2 linked regions of the Diceros bicornis minor genome follow. Each later gene encodes a partner of the first gene's protein in a complex. Links are inferred from orthologs where the notes say so. Each region holds a gene or a part of one and is shown on either strand. Other genes may lie near its edges.

What was found.
Region 2: the proteins of RNH1 (region 1) and RNASE1 are in contact, whole or in part, in a crystal structure (PDB 3TSR), measured with the Mus musculus proteins. The link is inferred for Diceros bicornis minor from reciprocal best matches to the Homo sapiens genes RNH1 and RNASE1. Residues at the interface, in NP_001165571.1 of Mus musculus: Cys7, Asp32, Thr60, Asn89, Asp117, Glu145, Tyr146, Asn174, Glu202, Trp257, Trp259, Glu283, Ser285, Trp314, Lys316, Glu340, Glu397, Ser401, Asn402, Gln426, Val428, Tyr430, Asp431, Ile432, Tyr433, Trp434, Thr435, Asn436, Glu437, Arg443; in NP_035401.2 of Mus musculus: Arg26, Glu27, Lys32, Gln36, Pro48, Thr49, Gln53, Lys56, Arg57, Met60, Asn62, Gly63, Ser64, Cys65, Lys66, Pro67, Val68, Asn92, Lys94, Asn96, Leu111, Lys112, Gly113, Asn114, Ser115, Lys116, Asp121, Ala134, Glu136, Val143.

What each region holds. Positions count from the first base shown.
Region 1 is NC_080770.1:333,462-341,438, forward strand, and holds the start of RNH1 (ribonuclease inhibitor), read right to left. Parts: upstream 3,022-7,977; 5' UTR 2,630-3,021; coding exon 2,607-2,629; intron 1-2,606. UniProt on the Homo sapiens protein: Ribonuclease inhibitor which inhibits RNASE1, RNASE2 and angiogenin (ANG). May play a role in redox homeostasis. Required to inhibit the cytotoxic tRNA ribonuclease activity of ANG in the cytoplasm in absence of stress.
Region 2 is NC_080744.1:28,472,489-28,480,334, reverse strand, and holds the start of RNASE1 (ribonuclease pancreatic), read right to left. Parts: upstream 3,094-7,846; 5' UTR 2,296-3,093; coding exon 2,042-2,295; intron 1,293-2,041; coding exon 797-1,292; 3' UTR 1-796. UniProt on the Homo sapiens protein: Endonuclease that catalyzes the cleavage of RNA on the 3' side of pyrimidine nucleotides. Acts on single-stranded and double-stranded RNA.

The sequences.
Region 1 (7,977 bases):
CGTCGCACCGGACAGGGAGGTGGCAGAATGACACCATGTGTGGCTGTGATGACACGGGTGCGACTGTCATCAGTCGGCTCTGGGGACGCGACTAGGCCCACGTGAAACATGCACGCACCCGTTTCCCCGTACGGATCAGGGGACGTTCGCAGAGAAGTCTAGCGGACACGGTCAGAACGTCCCTTCGCAGTATTCTGTAACCTGCACTCCTGGAGAAGCCTCACGTCCATCAGTGGGAGGTGGTTGAGTAATGTAAGACACCCGCTCTCCGCCAGTTAAAACCCCGCTGCTGACAGGGAGGACTGCGGAGGGCACGCTGTGAAGTTTATTAGACACACAGAACGAGACACACGGCACCAGTCCCGAACTTCCAAAATGACGGGGAGACAGCACGCGGCCCTGCGGGCGTCTGCGGGCTCCCAGCACACGGCTGTGGGTGTCCGTTCAAGAGCGCCCCTCGCTGCCATGTGCACGTGTTAGAACAGGGTGCTCCACGTGCTCGCATTGCACAGCATTCCTCAATTCAGCCGCCACTTACTGAACACCTATTGTGTGCCGGGCACTGTTCTAGGCGCTTGGGCCACATCAGTGAGCAAGCAGGGCAAAGGTCTCAGCCCTCTAGGAGCTCAAGGGGACACATGAAATTAAAAAGCAAATTAATAGTAGGGCTGCCCCAGTGGCCTAGTGCTTAAGTTCATGTGCTCTGCTTTGGCAGCCCAGGGTTCACAGGTTCGAATCCCAGGCATGGACCTACACACTGCTCATCAAGCCATGCTGCAGTGGCATTCCATGTACAAAATAGAGGAAGACAGGCACGGATGTTAGCTCAGGGACAATCTTCCTCAGAGATTGGCAAGGGATGTTAGCTTACAGCCAATCTTCCTCACGAAAAAAAAAAAAAAAGCAAATTAATAGTGAGGCAGCCCTGATGGCCTAGCAGTTCAAGTTTGGCAAGCTCCGCTTTGGCAGCCCAGGTTCAGTTCCTGGGTGTGGAACCACACCACTCATCTGTCAGTAGCCATGCTGTGGTGGCGGCTCACACAGAAGAAACAGAACTTACAACTATACACAACTATATACTGGGGCTTTGATGGGGGGCGGAGAAGAAAAAAGGAGGAAGATTGGCAATAGATGTTAGCTTAGGGCGAATCTCCCCCCCGGGGGAAAAAAAAAGGAAATTAATAGTATTTAGAATGTGGATAGTGCCAAGGGGCAAAAATAATGCAGAATAAAAGGGAATCAGGAGTGCTGGAGGGTCAGGGCAGACGTCAGGCATGTCCACTCCCAGGCGAGAGCAGGCCACGGGTAGCAGAGGCCTGAGGCTATGGTGGCCGCCCACAGGTGGGTTGAATGTTTCACACACTGCTCACTGCCGACCTGGCCTAATCCTGGCGGCCGCCAGGGAGCAGCACAGTGCAGATGGCGACAAGAGAGCAGCGAGCTGATCTGCTGCAAGGGGGGCCAGTTCTTTGGGGGAATAAAGTGGAGGGTTACTCAATTTGGGGATATTTGGCTGGGCTGGTTCCTGCTTGTGTAGCTTGCTGGGTGCCAATGGACAAGGGGGTCGCACCACCAACGCAGCCCTGGAGAGCCCAGTGGCTTCGCAGGGACAGACCACTAAGGTCCAGACAACCCCACCCATGAGCTCCCCCCGAGTGGGTTCAAGGTGTCAAGTTGTCGAGTGAAGACAGCCAGCAGCTCTCCTCCCCCTCGACGCAAGAAATGAGCGAGGTCCTGGGTTTCCCACAGAGGCTGCTGCAGCCTGAGGTTGGGTGAGGGTGGGTGAGGCAGAGGGGCGAGGGGGGAGGGGGGCCCCTGGGTGTACCGGAGCTACAGTCAACGTGATCGTGATTTTTGTCACATGAGCATTATATGCTCTTTGTAGAAAAACCAGAAGACAGAGAAAAGAAAATGAAGAGCGCTAGAATGCCCATCTTCTAGAGACAACTGCTCTGACATCTGTTCACGTGCTCCTACCCACTCTGTACACACATTTTTAAAAAATAAAAAATCAGATATTAGGAATGTTAGGCAGAATAATGGCCCCCAAAGGTGTCCACGTCCTAATCCCCAAACCTGTCAATAGTTACCTTCCATGGCAAAGGGATCTTTGCAGATGTGACTAAGCTAAGGGTCTTAAGATGGGGAGACTGTCCTCGATTACCCGGATAGGACCAATGTAATCATGAGGGTCCCTATAAGAGGGAGGTGAAAGGGTCAAAATCAGCAAGGAGACGTGACCATGAGGTTGGAGTGGTTGCGCTTTCAAGATGGAGGAAGGCAGCTTCTAGAAACTGGAAAAGGCCAAGAAGTAGATTCTCCCCTGGAGCCTCCGGAAGGAGCCCGCCCTGTGGATACTCCGATTTTAACCCCCTAAGACCCATTTCAGACTTCCAACCTCCAGAACTGTGAAATAAGGAATCTGTGGTAATTGTTACCGCAATAGGAGACGAACGCATTATGGAGCTGCTATAACATTTTCCTCTCAAGAACAGATCGGTATACAATGTATACAAGCTAACTTGCAGTGAACCCCACATTGTGTGCCAGCCTCTGAATGTATTCCATTTACTCAACCCGTCTTACAGGCCGACATTTCGTCTCACCTGGTTAGCTTCCTGGTACCCATCCTAGAAGGGGGGCCGGCCTGGTTCCAAGATGCCGCCCAACTGCCCTCCGGAAACGCTGCAGAAGTCCACCAGCTTTCCCGCACGCGTGTCTCCGCACCGCGTGGGCACCGAGAGGTGCCAGCCCAATAGCGCAAAGTGCCTGGACCCCCCTGCACATCTCAGCCAACCCTGAGACCACCCTGAGCCCGCGGCCCACGAGGCGCTGTTCCAGTCACGCTCTCCTCTTGCCCCCGGGAGTCGTCCACCCAGCTCCCCCAGGCCTCTCAGGTGACCTCCCAGGGCTCCTCTGACTGGGCTCCGCGTCATCACCCGGCCTGCGGTGTGCTTCTTCCCGGGCACTCTCGGAGGGGTGGCCACTGGAAGCACGTGCGAGTGTCCCTCCACCTCTGGTCGTACGTCATGGAGACCCCGTCCCCCCGTTTCCCCAATACCCCCTGGGCGACTCCTCTCTGCCAGGGCTGTCCTTCCTGGGGGTCGGTTCTTTGCGGCAACAGGCCAAAGGTTACTCAATTTGGGGAAGAAAGTGTGGCTGGGCCAGCCTCTGCTTCTGCAGCTTGCTGGGCGCCAATGGACCAGGGGTCAGGGAGAACCCCGCACTCGCGCGGACACAGGCACCCAGAGCGGACCACGCAGGCGCAGACCAGCGCGCCGCGCCGCGCCTCCCAGCGTGCCTCGGGAGAAGGGCCTGAGCGGTGCGCACGCGCGGGGGCGCTCTCGGTGCTGTGACGTCCTCGGGGCGCGCCGACGGCCTCCAGGAGGCGCCGCTGCCTCGGCCCGCTCGGCCCCGCCCCGCCCCCGGGCCCCGCCCGGGCCCCGCCCGGGCCCCGCCCCCGCCGCACGCCCCCCGCCCACACGCCCCCGCCCACACGCCCCCGCCCACACGCCCCCACGTCCCGCCTCACGAGCACGTTTCTCCCCCGGGGAGCATGGCAGCAGTACCGCCCCTGCGCGTCCATAGGCGGCCCGACCACAGCCGCCGCCGGTGAGGGCTGACCTCGACACGACGACGGACTATCACTGGCCTGGAGACCGGAGGGAGACGGCGCACTTCCGGCAGGGAGGGCGGGGGCGGGACTGGAGGGGTGGGGGCAGGGCCTGGCGGGCGAGGTCTGGCTGCCGTGTCAGGACCGGCGGGGGGGGCGGGGCCCGGAGGGCGGGGGCGGGGCCTGGCGGGCGAGGTCTGGCTGTCCTGCCGGGACTGGTGGTGGGGCGGGCCCTGGAGCGCGGGGCGGGGCGAGGTCTGGCTGCCGCGTTTGGACTGGCGGTGGGGCGGGGCCTGGATGGGAGGGCGGGGGCGGGGCCTGGCGCGCGGGGGCGGGGCGAGGTCTGGCTGCATCGTTGGGACGGGCGGTGGGGCGGGGCCGAGCCGGCGGGGGGCGTGGCTGGAGGACGGGGCCGGGTGGGCATGGGCGTGGCCAACGGGGCGGGCGCAGCCTTTGGGGGTGGACTCCTCGCGCCCACGTGGCGGCGGGGAGGAGCGGTGGTCTGGGCGGGCTGGGAAGCGTGGTTGGCGGGCGCGCTCCGTGGGCGGGCCTCGGACGTTGGGCACCGTGAGGGCGTGAAGTCGTCTGGCCGTGACGTTGGCGTGGCTGTCAGGGGGCTCGGCTCGGTGACTTGGAGCGAAGTCTGGCTCCCGAGTTTCTGCACAGCAGTCCCTGCCGAGCACCGACCTGGTCGTATAGCTGGAGAGTATACGTAGATGGATGAAGTCATAGGAACGAGGGTGGCCACGTTATTCATTAAGGCACGGTTTGTGGTCTATGGGTAGTGCTTCATGAGTCTAACATTGTCAATTAACGGAAATAGTTCAGAGTCTCGCCTGACTGCGTTCATTCGAGGATAGTTATTAACTCCTTTGTGCCCGGCTGTGTTCTAGGTGCCGGGGATTCAACGCTGAGCAGAACAGAGGAAATCCCTGGTGGGGGAAACGTGGGACGGGGAGGCCAGCCTAGGAGGGTTACCTGATGAGGGGCGTGGCCTGGCGTCCACAGGCTGACGCCAGTGGTGCTCGGCGAAGGACATAAAATGGAAAGGTGGGAGTTTTACCGAGGAGGGGAAGACTGGTCTGGCAGTAAGCAGCACGGGGAGGAACCAGCCACACTGGAGAGGGCCTTATGGGAAGCCCTGTCCCCAGGAGCGCCAGTTCCTGCTGGAGCAAAAGGGATGGGAGGTTGTTGAAGAAAAAACTGACTTTTCTTGCGGACTTACTTCTTTAAGTGCTGAAATTTCATTTTAACAATTTTGATAGAAATTGTTTAATTACAGTATTCACTTTCTTCTTTAGACAAAGTGTACTGACCTGAGTGACTCTTCTAAAACTAACTTCAACAAACCGTTTGGGAGATACTTCTGTGGGCTGGCGCCACGGCGGGTGCCTCGGAGGAGGAAGGGATGAGCCAGGCCGAGGCCTGCTACCTGGAGCTATGTTTTGGGCAATACTCCAGGTGGCAGGCGGTCACAGATGCCCCAAAGGTGGTAGAGAGGAGGGTTGTTGAGAGGAGGCAGAAGAAATCATGAGCAATGTCTTTGATTCCTTTGCTGAAATACAGTGTGCTCATGTGATATCTTGAGTACGTGCTGATGCCGGATAGACCCAGACTTCTTATCTCTATGTTAGTTTATTTCTTTGTGTTTAATGGGAAACAGCAGTCAAGGCTTGTTGGAATCTGCGCATGGGTTTGAGATGTTCTCAGGTGAATAAACATTATGAACTTTAGCGCATAAACGTTATGACTTATATTTTTGGTGCTTATTCAACAAACGTTAAGTTGTGCGCTAGTCCCCAATTCTCAGAATTGATGTTTTGGCAGATGAGGTCTGCAGATAAGGGGACTGCACGGCAGAGTTGTTCCTTACCATTTTATTAAACTGCTCTTCTGACTGTCTTTAAAGGAGGTGGCTGAGCACTGGGAAGGTGCAGGGCCTGGAACCAGCTGACCTGAGTGTGACCTTCACTGTGTGGTGACCAGAGGCCGATCTTTTGAGCGTCTAAGCTTGATCATTTTCATCTGTACACCAGGCCCACCAAGTACCTCCCTCCAGGCGGTGAAGATTCAGTGCTGGGATGCAGGTAAATGCTCAGTGCACCTGGATCTGAATATTGTTTATGCAAAGTGTGCACTGGAAAAAGTAGCTGCTTTTGACTTAGAATCTGGCTGTGGGGTTTCGAATGCATCGCAGGTCACTGGAAGGCCTCTGCTGGCCTGACTCCTGGGCGGGCTCCCTTCCCCACCACAAGAATTAGATCTTAGGAAAGCTGCTAAAATGTTGTACTTTCATTTCATTCTTTTCTATGCCATAACCTCTTAGGTTTGTTTCTTGCAATTCTCGTAAGGGTGAAGAAAACAATTCAAAATAAACGTTTGGCCCTGAAGCTGTTTGGGCCCCTTTGTGACACCCCATGGAGATACGAGGACTTGGCTGCTCTGGGGACTGGTGAGAAAACGTGGGGGAAGGCGCTCGTCAACTTTGAGACACCCCACGAAGCCGAGCACGCAGGTGACCACCATCCATGTGGCCACATCCCGCCCAGACAGGACACTGGCCACAGGGGGGGCCACGTAGGATTCACTGGAAGTCATGTCTTTATACATATTTTTGAACTTACCTGATTCACCCAGTTATGTCCTTATCGTTGTTTTTAAACCGACCCAGTTCACCTGACGGGGGATCTGGAGTGTACGGAAGTCCCCCCACCTCCAGTTTTGTATTGCCGTCCCCCCAGAGGTGACCATTCTTGCCCACTTCTCGAAGGTCCTGGCGTGCTGGGCAGTGCTTTGTCTTCCTGATCCAGTTCCAAACAGGCACCTAGTAGATGTGAGTTCCTTGCCCTTTCCCTTATTCCTCCGGCCCCGTCTAACTACACGTTTCCTGAAATAGAGAGCCTTTGGGTTGTTCCTGCCTCTTCCTCAGTGCTTGTCAGTGTCCTGACATAGGGTCTCAGGAAACAGGAATAGGGTGAGGGGCTGAAGAGGGAAACCCCAGTCCATGTTTATGAGACGCCGTCTACAGAGACCCCAGTGCTACAGGTGGACTGGTCAGACACGTGGGAGAGATGCCGCCCAGGGCGTCTTTGGGTGGGAGTCCCTGTCCTGCTCTACTTTTGTAAATATATTCCTTTTTTTGCTTTTTTTTGTGAGGAAGATCAGCCTTGAGTTAACATCCATGCCAATCCTCCTCTTTTTTGCTGCGAAAGACTGGCTCTGGGCTAACATCTGTGCCCATCTTCCTCCGCTTTATATGGGACGCTGCCACAGCATGGCCTGACAAGCGCACCCAGGATCAGCACCCCGGCAGCCAGCAGCGGAGCACGCATACTTACTGCTACACCACGGGGCCGGCCCCCTATATTCCTTTTTTATTGAAATTTAAGATACATACAGAGAAGTGTGCATAGTGTAAGTACAGAGCACCTGGGATCTTCACAGACAGCACCCAGGTAAAGTGGAAAACATGGAGGATGAAGTAGCAAGGGTTTGAGGATTAAACCTGACCAGTGGCTGCTCTGGGTTCATATGTGACTGGTTATATTGTTGACAGTTTGTTTAAGTGACGCTAGAGATGGCCAACTGAGTGTCATCCCAAGGTTTGGAAAGTAGAGCGCCCTCTGATTCATGGGTGAAGCCTGCCACGTGGCAGGACGTTCACAGTGTGGCAGGTGTAGGGAGATCTGGGCTCCTCACCTCGAGTGAGAAGGTCTTGACTTGAAGTTGCGATTTCAGTCAGACCATGAGGAAGTGGGCCAGTCAAGGGATGGTGCACGCTTCTGGAGTCCTGAGTTCCACGTTGGTCTTGGCCCAGGGGCGACGTTCTCTTCCCTCCTGTGTGGGGATGCTACAAAAATAAGATGTTCCTCCAAGGGCCTCAGGTCAGACACTGAGTCAGCCTCTGGAACTGAGTGGTGTTTGAGACAGCAGCCCGCCCCCAGGAGCTGCGCAGTGTGGGCACTGTGGGCACTATGGTGGCCTTGGCCAGGCATCTTGATGAGGCCTGGGAGGCACCTTGATGCAGGAGCTACTTGAGTTCCCGGGGCACGGGGGAGGCATGTGCAAAGGCGCAGAGGTTCGAGAGAACTGCTCTTCTGACCGCTAATTCTGCAGACTCCTTCTGCCTGTTTGTGAGCGTCATGTAGGTGGAGTTATGTTGCACGTTCTTTCTTTGCTGAGCACTGCGAGAGGGACGGTGGTCTGTGCACTGTCGGCGCTGTGTTCTCTCTGCTGCACGGTTGTTCCATGCTTCTTCACCCGTTCTGTCTCGACGCTCAGCGGGGCGTTCCCAGGTCTTGGCGTCACACAGCTCTGCTGGAACACTTGTGCGTGTCCTTTGCTGGGCGTGTGTGGGCGTTGCT
Region 2 (7,846 bases), on another chromosome or scaffold:
ACTTACTCTCCCTCAATCTGATAATTTCTAAATGCCTTCCAGCTCCTAAATTGAAGCTGGAAGGTTCCAACTTTCAAAGTAAGAGATGACCATTTTTCTGATTTAGTAATAACTCACTCAAAACAAGGAAAATGGAAATTTAGGATCCTACTTTCCTACATTCCTCCTCCCCATCCTGAGGCTGAGTAGGATCTTCCTGAGGTCACACTGACCTTCCTTCTGTGCCAGAGACTTTTGTATTTAGCTTCGCCCTCTGTCAGTTCACCCAGCATGACAGTGTCCCAGACTGTAGCTCCCTTTTATCTAAAATAGCCCACACTTAAAAACTTTACATTTGGCATCAAGGAACCCACAAGGAAAGGAATTATCTCAGGTCACTAAAAACCAAGAGCCAGAAGAGAAGGCACTTAACGATTCCCTTTGCTGCTCACCAAAGCTAACCAGATTTACAGTCCTCAGCCCTGGCAGGCAGGCAATCATGCAAACAGTACCTGGATGGGGACGGCTTCAGGAATCCAGGTGGTTGCAACTGTGTTTTATTGAAAGAAGCAATGAAGTGGTTAACATGGGACATACCTCACAACCCACCCTTCACCCTCCAAACCACTTGTAGGGGGAAGCCTCAGGCCAGGGAAGTGTGCGTGTGTGTGTGTGTGTGTGAGTGTGTGTGTGTGTGTTTGTGTGTGTGTGTTGGATCTTGAGTTATTCCTTGCATCCCCAGGGCAAGGAAGGAAGGAAGAGGGGAGAGACAGGTGCCACCATGATGAGGTGGTGGGGCATCTCTCTGCTCCCGGCCTCAGGTGGAGACTTCCACAGAAGCGTCCAAGTGGACTGGCACGTACGGGTTCCCCTCACAGGCCACGATGATGTATCTCTCCATCCGGCTGGTCCGGTACGCACAGTTGGGGTACTTGGAGCCGCTCGTGAGGCAGCACTCTGTGATGCGCATGCTGGAGCTGCTCTGGTAGCAGTTGGACTGCCCGTTCTTGCAGGTGACATTTTCCTGGAAGCAGATGGCCTGGACATCGGCCAGGGGCTCGTGCACAAAGGTGTTCAACAACTTGCACCATCCCTGTATCATATTCCGGCGCATCATCATTTGGTTGCAGTAGTTGGAGCTGCTGCTGGAGGTGCCGTCAGAGTCCACGTGCTGCCGCTCAAACTTCATGGCCGCTGATTCACTGCCCAGGGAAGGCTGGACCACCCCCAGCACCAGCAGCACCAGGACTAGCAATGGGAACAGGACAAGGGACTTCTCCTGAGCCATAGTGGCCTCACTCCGCCCAAGGAGCCTAGCCAGGAAAGACAGAGAGGAAGAAAAGCATTGCCTTAGAAAGAGAAGCCCCACTTCCACCTGTGGTCTTCCACCTCACAGTCTCCCTCCCACCTTACAGTCAGCCAGAAAGACATCCCTCTTCCTGCGAGCTTTTCCAAGTAAGGAGACATTCACATGTCCTCTTCTCTAAGAACATTTGACTCCCACTCGCTACAGAGGCCGTCCTCCCCTCTGGGTGGTGACCCCGGAAGTAATCTAAAACCCTGAAAGTCTTCCCTTTGAACACTGAAGAAATTTTTATCTCAAATACATTTGAAAAGTAAAATACATTTGTACTCAATGCTCAAATGTGTGCTCAAAAGTGGCTCATTAGAAGATCCTTTTGAATAAACTATTAAATAAACCAAATTTTGAAGAGGCCAAATTATATCCCTGAGATACCACCAAGTGTCATCCAGGATCATGGTTGACAGAGCCCTGTTGTCCTACAGCACAAGGGAAACTCAGCCCAGTGCCTGACACTGGCATCACAAAGGATGCTATTGTATTCCAAAGAGAGATGCTCGTCTCCCCCAACCTGGGGGCTGCTTCTTTTCCAGCCCCATGGATTCTCTGCAGCTCAAATGCTCCCTCCTGACCCAGCTCTGGCCACAGCTGATTTTTGCCTGGCCCAAGCTTTCTCAGTGCTAGCCTCACCCGCCTGGCTCCCTCCTCTACAACCCTCAAGCAGAAGTAGCTCCTGAGACCACCTCTTGGGCGGCTTACCTGGGTCTCCAGCTTGGTCTCTGAGAGAGCCGGAAGGCCAGTTTCTGCAACCAGTCAATCCCTGAGGTGTGGACATTATACAGATTACAAGGGGGGTTGGCCTCCAAGAAGGGAAGGGTGGGAGGAGCATCTGGGTCTGAGTCCGGAGGAAAGCAAGGCCATTGTGAGGAAGAGGTGAGGAGTTGCCCAGGCCACCCTCTTTTCAGGGCTGCTGGGGAGAGTGAGTCTTTGCCTATAGGAGCCTTTCTTACCATACGAATCTTATCTGTCTGCTGGTTCACAAGTAGCAGCAGAGAAAGCCACTACAGCACTGATGTCTGAATCCCCAACCAAGTCCTTGTTATCTCTTTGAGGGCCATTTTCACCAAATAGCCCTTGGAGGTTAGAAAGGACACTTAACATGTGATCATATGAGACAGAGGGAAAGGGAGATCCACTCTCTCCCCAGGAGTCCTGGAGACCCTTTGGCGGTGTTAAGGCAAAATACCCAATAACCATTCTATAGATAAGAGAGAGAGGTGAGTCTTACTTGAGCCAGAGTGAGAATTATAACCCGGGAAGGACTTTTCCAGAAAGGAAGAAAGCTTTCTGGAGAACCATGGTTTTCAGTGCAGTCTTAGATCTTTTTAGAACAAAGAACATACATTAAACACGCCCAGGATACATATTCATCCAAGTTTCAAAGAGGTATTCAGTTGCAAATCAGCAGGCCAACATGATCTCAAAGTCGGGGAAAGGGAATAACCCAGGCGTTACCGATAGGGTGTTACTAATATGGCATAGAGGGGAAGTATGCATTCTTATCTTGAGAGACCACATTGTTTACTTTAATGGTTAAAGCGGATGTACAGTGTATGTTTGATAGGCCATAAATTAGACTTCTTTAGTTCAAGCCGAATCACTTTTGAATCCGAATAGTTAACCTGTATGCCCCTATATGTGAAAATCTCTTGTCAGCTGGGATTCCACATCTCTCTCCAGCACCTCTCCTGGGGGGAGGGGGGAGAGGTGTCCAGCCGCCCCCAGCTAGAACGCTTCCCAGATCTGGAGAAGGAGGGGGAGAGTGCCTGAACAGGGAGGAAAAGAAGGAAGCCTCCACAGGACCTCATCCAGTTCTGGCCACTTCGACATTCTGACATTCCTGGGTGTTGAATGTGAGTGTGTGGTAGATCTTATCTACAGTGACCACTTATCTGGTAGGTGAGAGTTGAGTAGAGGAACGAAAGATGAACCAAAACCCAAATACCTTTTGGAGAAAAGATAGAGAACATCGTATTTCTTATCAGCAGCATCCCTCCTAGAAAGAGATCTGTTTGTACTAGGTGACAATTTTGATACCTCTGGAGTGAGAATTATCAAAATATCCCCCCACGCTCTGGATTTAGACTGTCTCAGTTCAAATTCTGGTTTAATACCTTAAGAGCTGGGCAAGTTACAGAACTTTATTTCCCTGTTCCTCAGTTTCCTCATCTCTAAAATGAGGGTAATAATATATACCTCTTAGATTTGTTTTTAGGAAGAAATAAGATAAGATGGGCAGAGGGCTTAGAGTAATGCTTTGAAAGCATCCATAAATGCTAGGTCTTATGATGCGTCATGCCAGGTGGTGTTGAGATCCTCCCAAGGAATCTGTTTAAATAACACTGAGTGATCTCTGAATCGCTTTCTACAGGGGATAGAGTCAAAGAACTGCCAGGCTTTTGTTTTGCTAAAAACCTGAGCTGAAAATAGCTGGCAGTTTTGGAGCCCTGGGGAGGGAAAGAAAGGAGAAGAGGAGAGAAGAGAGAGAACTTGAAGGGAAGAACAGAATTCTTTAATAGGAAATTTTTAAATTGTTTTGCCATATGATATCCAAGAAATTTTTAGTAAAGTAACATTTGTCAATGAGTATGAATTTGGAAGAAGTGGGGCTAAGGAAATGTGGTGTGGCCAAGATTTTAGTTTCACGTTCTCACAGTTCACCCACCACCCCACCCTCCATACAGGCTTTGTTTGTCTCTTAGTCCTTAGATGGTACTCATATCATCTGGAGTGGTGTTGAGTGGAAAACTTTTCCTCTATCCATTTATGTTCTTGGTCAGGAGGCCTGCAAATTAACCGACAAAAGACAGATTAACAGGAGAATTGACAAAGTTTATTCATATGCATATGGAGGCACACAAAAGAAGTAGTTCACTGAACAGCTAGGGATAAGAGTTTATACACTAACTTAATAGGAGAAAGAAGGGAGGTGGGTGTGAATAGGGGCTTTATAGAAAATAAATGGGTTTTTTAAAGAAAGATTAATGAGCTTTTAGCGGAACAAATGGGAGGTAAGATAGTTTGTGATGCTGTTTGTTTATGCAAGAGTGAGTGGTCTATATTCTTCCTGGCTGTAAAACTCCCCAGGAGAGGGAATTTATAGCAGACTCACTCTCAGAAGACATTGCCTTTAGTCAGATAAGGGGAGCTTTCGAAAGGCTTCTTTCTGCATCTACTGAGTCTCAAATATCTTCAGTTTAAAATAATCTTCAATCAACTCTGGGAATCCGAGTAGGTCCCTACCATGGTCAATTTAGGATTTGTTCATTCAGTCATTCAGCAGTGGGAGTACAGAGATAAATAAGTCACAGGGCCTGCCCTAAAGATACCTGATGAGATGGATTGTAACATTGGTCAGGTGAGTCCCACCGAGGTGTTGGGCATGGCTACACAAAAGTAGTCATTCTTCTGGTACCCTGCCAATGTCAGAAGAATTTCTTCAGGGAGTCGGTCCAACAAGAAGATTTCAGAATCACAATTCCTATATGAATAGGCCTTCTGTAACCCAAATAAAGTTCTTCAGTAGCCTCCTTCCCTGGGCATCCCTGACTATAAGAAGCCATTTTGCCTATTTGTGTAGACAATCTAGACAAGCCCTCGGGGTTTTAATTCACTTCATGGGAACCATCAAAAACCCATCCTTACTATAGCCTTACCCTTGACCCAGTTGCAAAGGCATGTCCCCCTGTCTTAGGGCAATAGTTGCCACTGCAATGTTGTTGATGCTTCTGCTGAACTGGTTCTAGGCTCCCTGCTCCTAGTTTCTCATGCAGTAAGACACTACTACTGACTGAGAATACACAACACTTTTCAGCCAGCCAAGTAACCCCTTAGAAGATTCTATTACTCTTTCCCTCTCACATACTGTTCACCTCGGAAACACCTGAATCCTGACACTCTCCTGCTCCTACCAGAAGAAGGGGAGCCCTGTGATCATGTTATCTCAGGTAGGGAACTTTCTGTATCCTACTTAGATCTATTAGAGACTCCTATTTATTAGAGACTTCCTATTAAGAAGCCTGACCTAACGTTATTTGTTGATGGATCATACCTCAAAACTGAAACTTGAGGTTATCAAGTGGATATGCTATCACTAACCAAAGCTCTTCAGAATATAGTCTTCTGCTTGAGGTAAATCAGCCCAGATGGCAGAACTTATTGCACTTACTAGAGCTTGTCAACTAGCCGAAGACCAGAGAATAAAGCTATATACAGACAGCAGGTGTGCTTTTGGAGAAGTACATGACTTTGGGATGCTTTGGAAACAAGCATCAAAATGGACGGCAAGTTAAGGAACTTTTAGATGCACTCCTAGTTCCTGGACAGGTGGTTATTATAGAGTGAGGCCCACATTAAAAGAGATAATATGGAAGCGAAAGGAATTGCTCTAACAGATCATTATGCCAAATAAACTGCTTTAATTAAGATTATGAGTCTATTTAAACCCTCAAAAGATAAATCTCTGGACAAATTCAAAGAGGCCGTTATAAAATATCAACATTTAGCCCCTGATTATGAAAAAGAAGAATGGAAAAAATCTGGCTGTACCCTTCACTTGCATAATCCCTGGCACTCTCAAGAAATAATCTGAATTTTACCATGAAATACCCATCACGGAATAAACAATTTGCCTACTATCTTAAATCAACATTAGTAGAGAAACTTTAAAAAGAAAGCTGAGGTTATTTTCAGGTCACGTGTTACCTGTCAACAACACAATCCTGGAAAAGTTGTAAAGGTAGCACATGGCCAGGACCAAAGCCTCAAGGGTCCTTTGGATACCTTTAGCCGCTTATCCAGCTTCCACCCACGATGCGATTTGAATGTGTTTTAGTTATTATATGTCTATTTTCAGGGTGACTTGAAGCATTTCCTTGCCAAAAAGCTACCGCCCTTATAGTCACTAAAAAGCTGCTTGATTTTATGTTTTCAATCTAGAACATCCCAACCTTTATATCAAGTGATTGAGGCACACACTTTAAGGGAACCATTATAAAAGATCTCTGCAAGTTGTTACCCTTTACTCAAAAACTACACCGTCCTTACCATTCACAATCCGCTGGAAAGGCTGAAAGGACCAATGGCATCCTTAAATTAAAATTAGCAACATTTTCAGAAACCCTTGAACTCTCTTGCCCAAAGGTACTCCTACCCACTATCCCTTATGGCCATCAGCCACTCTCTCAGAAATATATGGGTTATCCCCCTACGAACCGATAATTGGAAGGCCCACGCACTTAGGAATTTCACCTCCAATACTACAACCTGCCCTACTTGCATGCAGACATAACAAAATATTGCAAGGGACTCACGTACTGTACCCACTCCTATTGCCAACAAGTTAAGGCCACCTTCCTACAACATCTTTCTAAACAATCTCTTCATGATCTTCAACCGGGGGATTTTATCTATGGGAAGAGCCATCAGAGAAAAACTGTTCCTGAACCCTGTTGGAAGGGACCTTATCAAATTCTGTTAACTACAAATACAGCAGTGAAACTCCGGGGGAGTCAATCACTGGGTCCATGGTTCACAACTAAATCAGCAATTCAGAATTCTGCGTAACTGGAAGGTTACTCCAATACAGGAACTAAAACAGGATTCTCCGAGATCCTCCAGAAACAGCTGATCTTCAGAAGCAGACAGCTGACCTAAGACCCTTGGAACAAGCCGACAACCATGGATAATGGACCGGTTCCACACATGATGTTGGAGCAAGACTCCTGTCTAATTCCTGGTTGTTTTTTTTTTAATATGCTTGCTTATAATCTCATTATTTTCTATATACCTCTTGTTGTCATCTGCCCATAATGAGCCTTTTTCTCTTCTCTTCCTACTTTATTATAATTGTTAGGTCAGAATATACTCATTCTAAAAAGGTAAACATATGATGTGATGGATGTTTTAATTAACTCAATGGGGGGAATCCTTTCACAATGTATACATATATTAAATCATCACATTGTACACTTTAAATATCTTACAATTTTGTTTGTCAATTATACCTCAATAAAGCTGGAAAAAAAAAAACCCAAAAAGAACAAACTTGTTCTAATACCATTTTTAGATTATCCCAAACAGTAGCCACTGCCTTCAATCTTACTGACTGCGGAATATGCCACCCACCCCCAGATCCCCATGATAAAAACCTCTGGGTAATTCTGATGTCATTATATGAGACCATAGGCAATCACAGCCGATGGTGTTTCCACTTGCATCTACAAGGACAACTGACTCTAAACAAGTCAATCTGTGACTTTGCTAGTATCCCTCTCTCCCAGAAATAGAACCAATTATTATAATCTATTGTTCAGACCCTAATTCTAAATTTGAATTCAACAACCTCCCTGGGGTGATGGGCTGAACTCTTGGCACCTAGAAAAGACTAGTAGAGATCCAAATATGTAATGTAAGGCCTTGGTTCCAACCTCATGTCATGAACAACTCCTTGTTTCCTGGATCTCCACGTGCCCCTACTGGATACCACTTCCTTTGTGGTCAGGA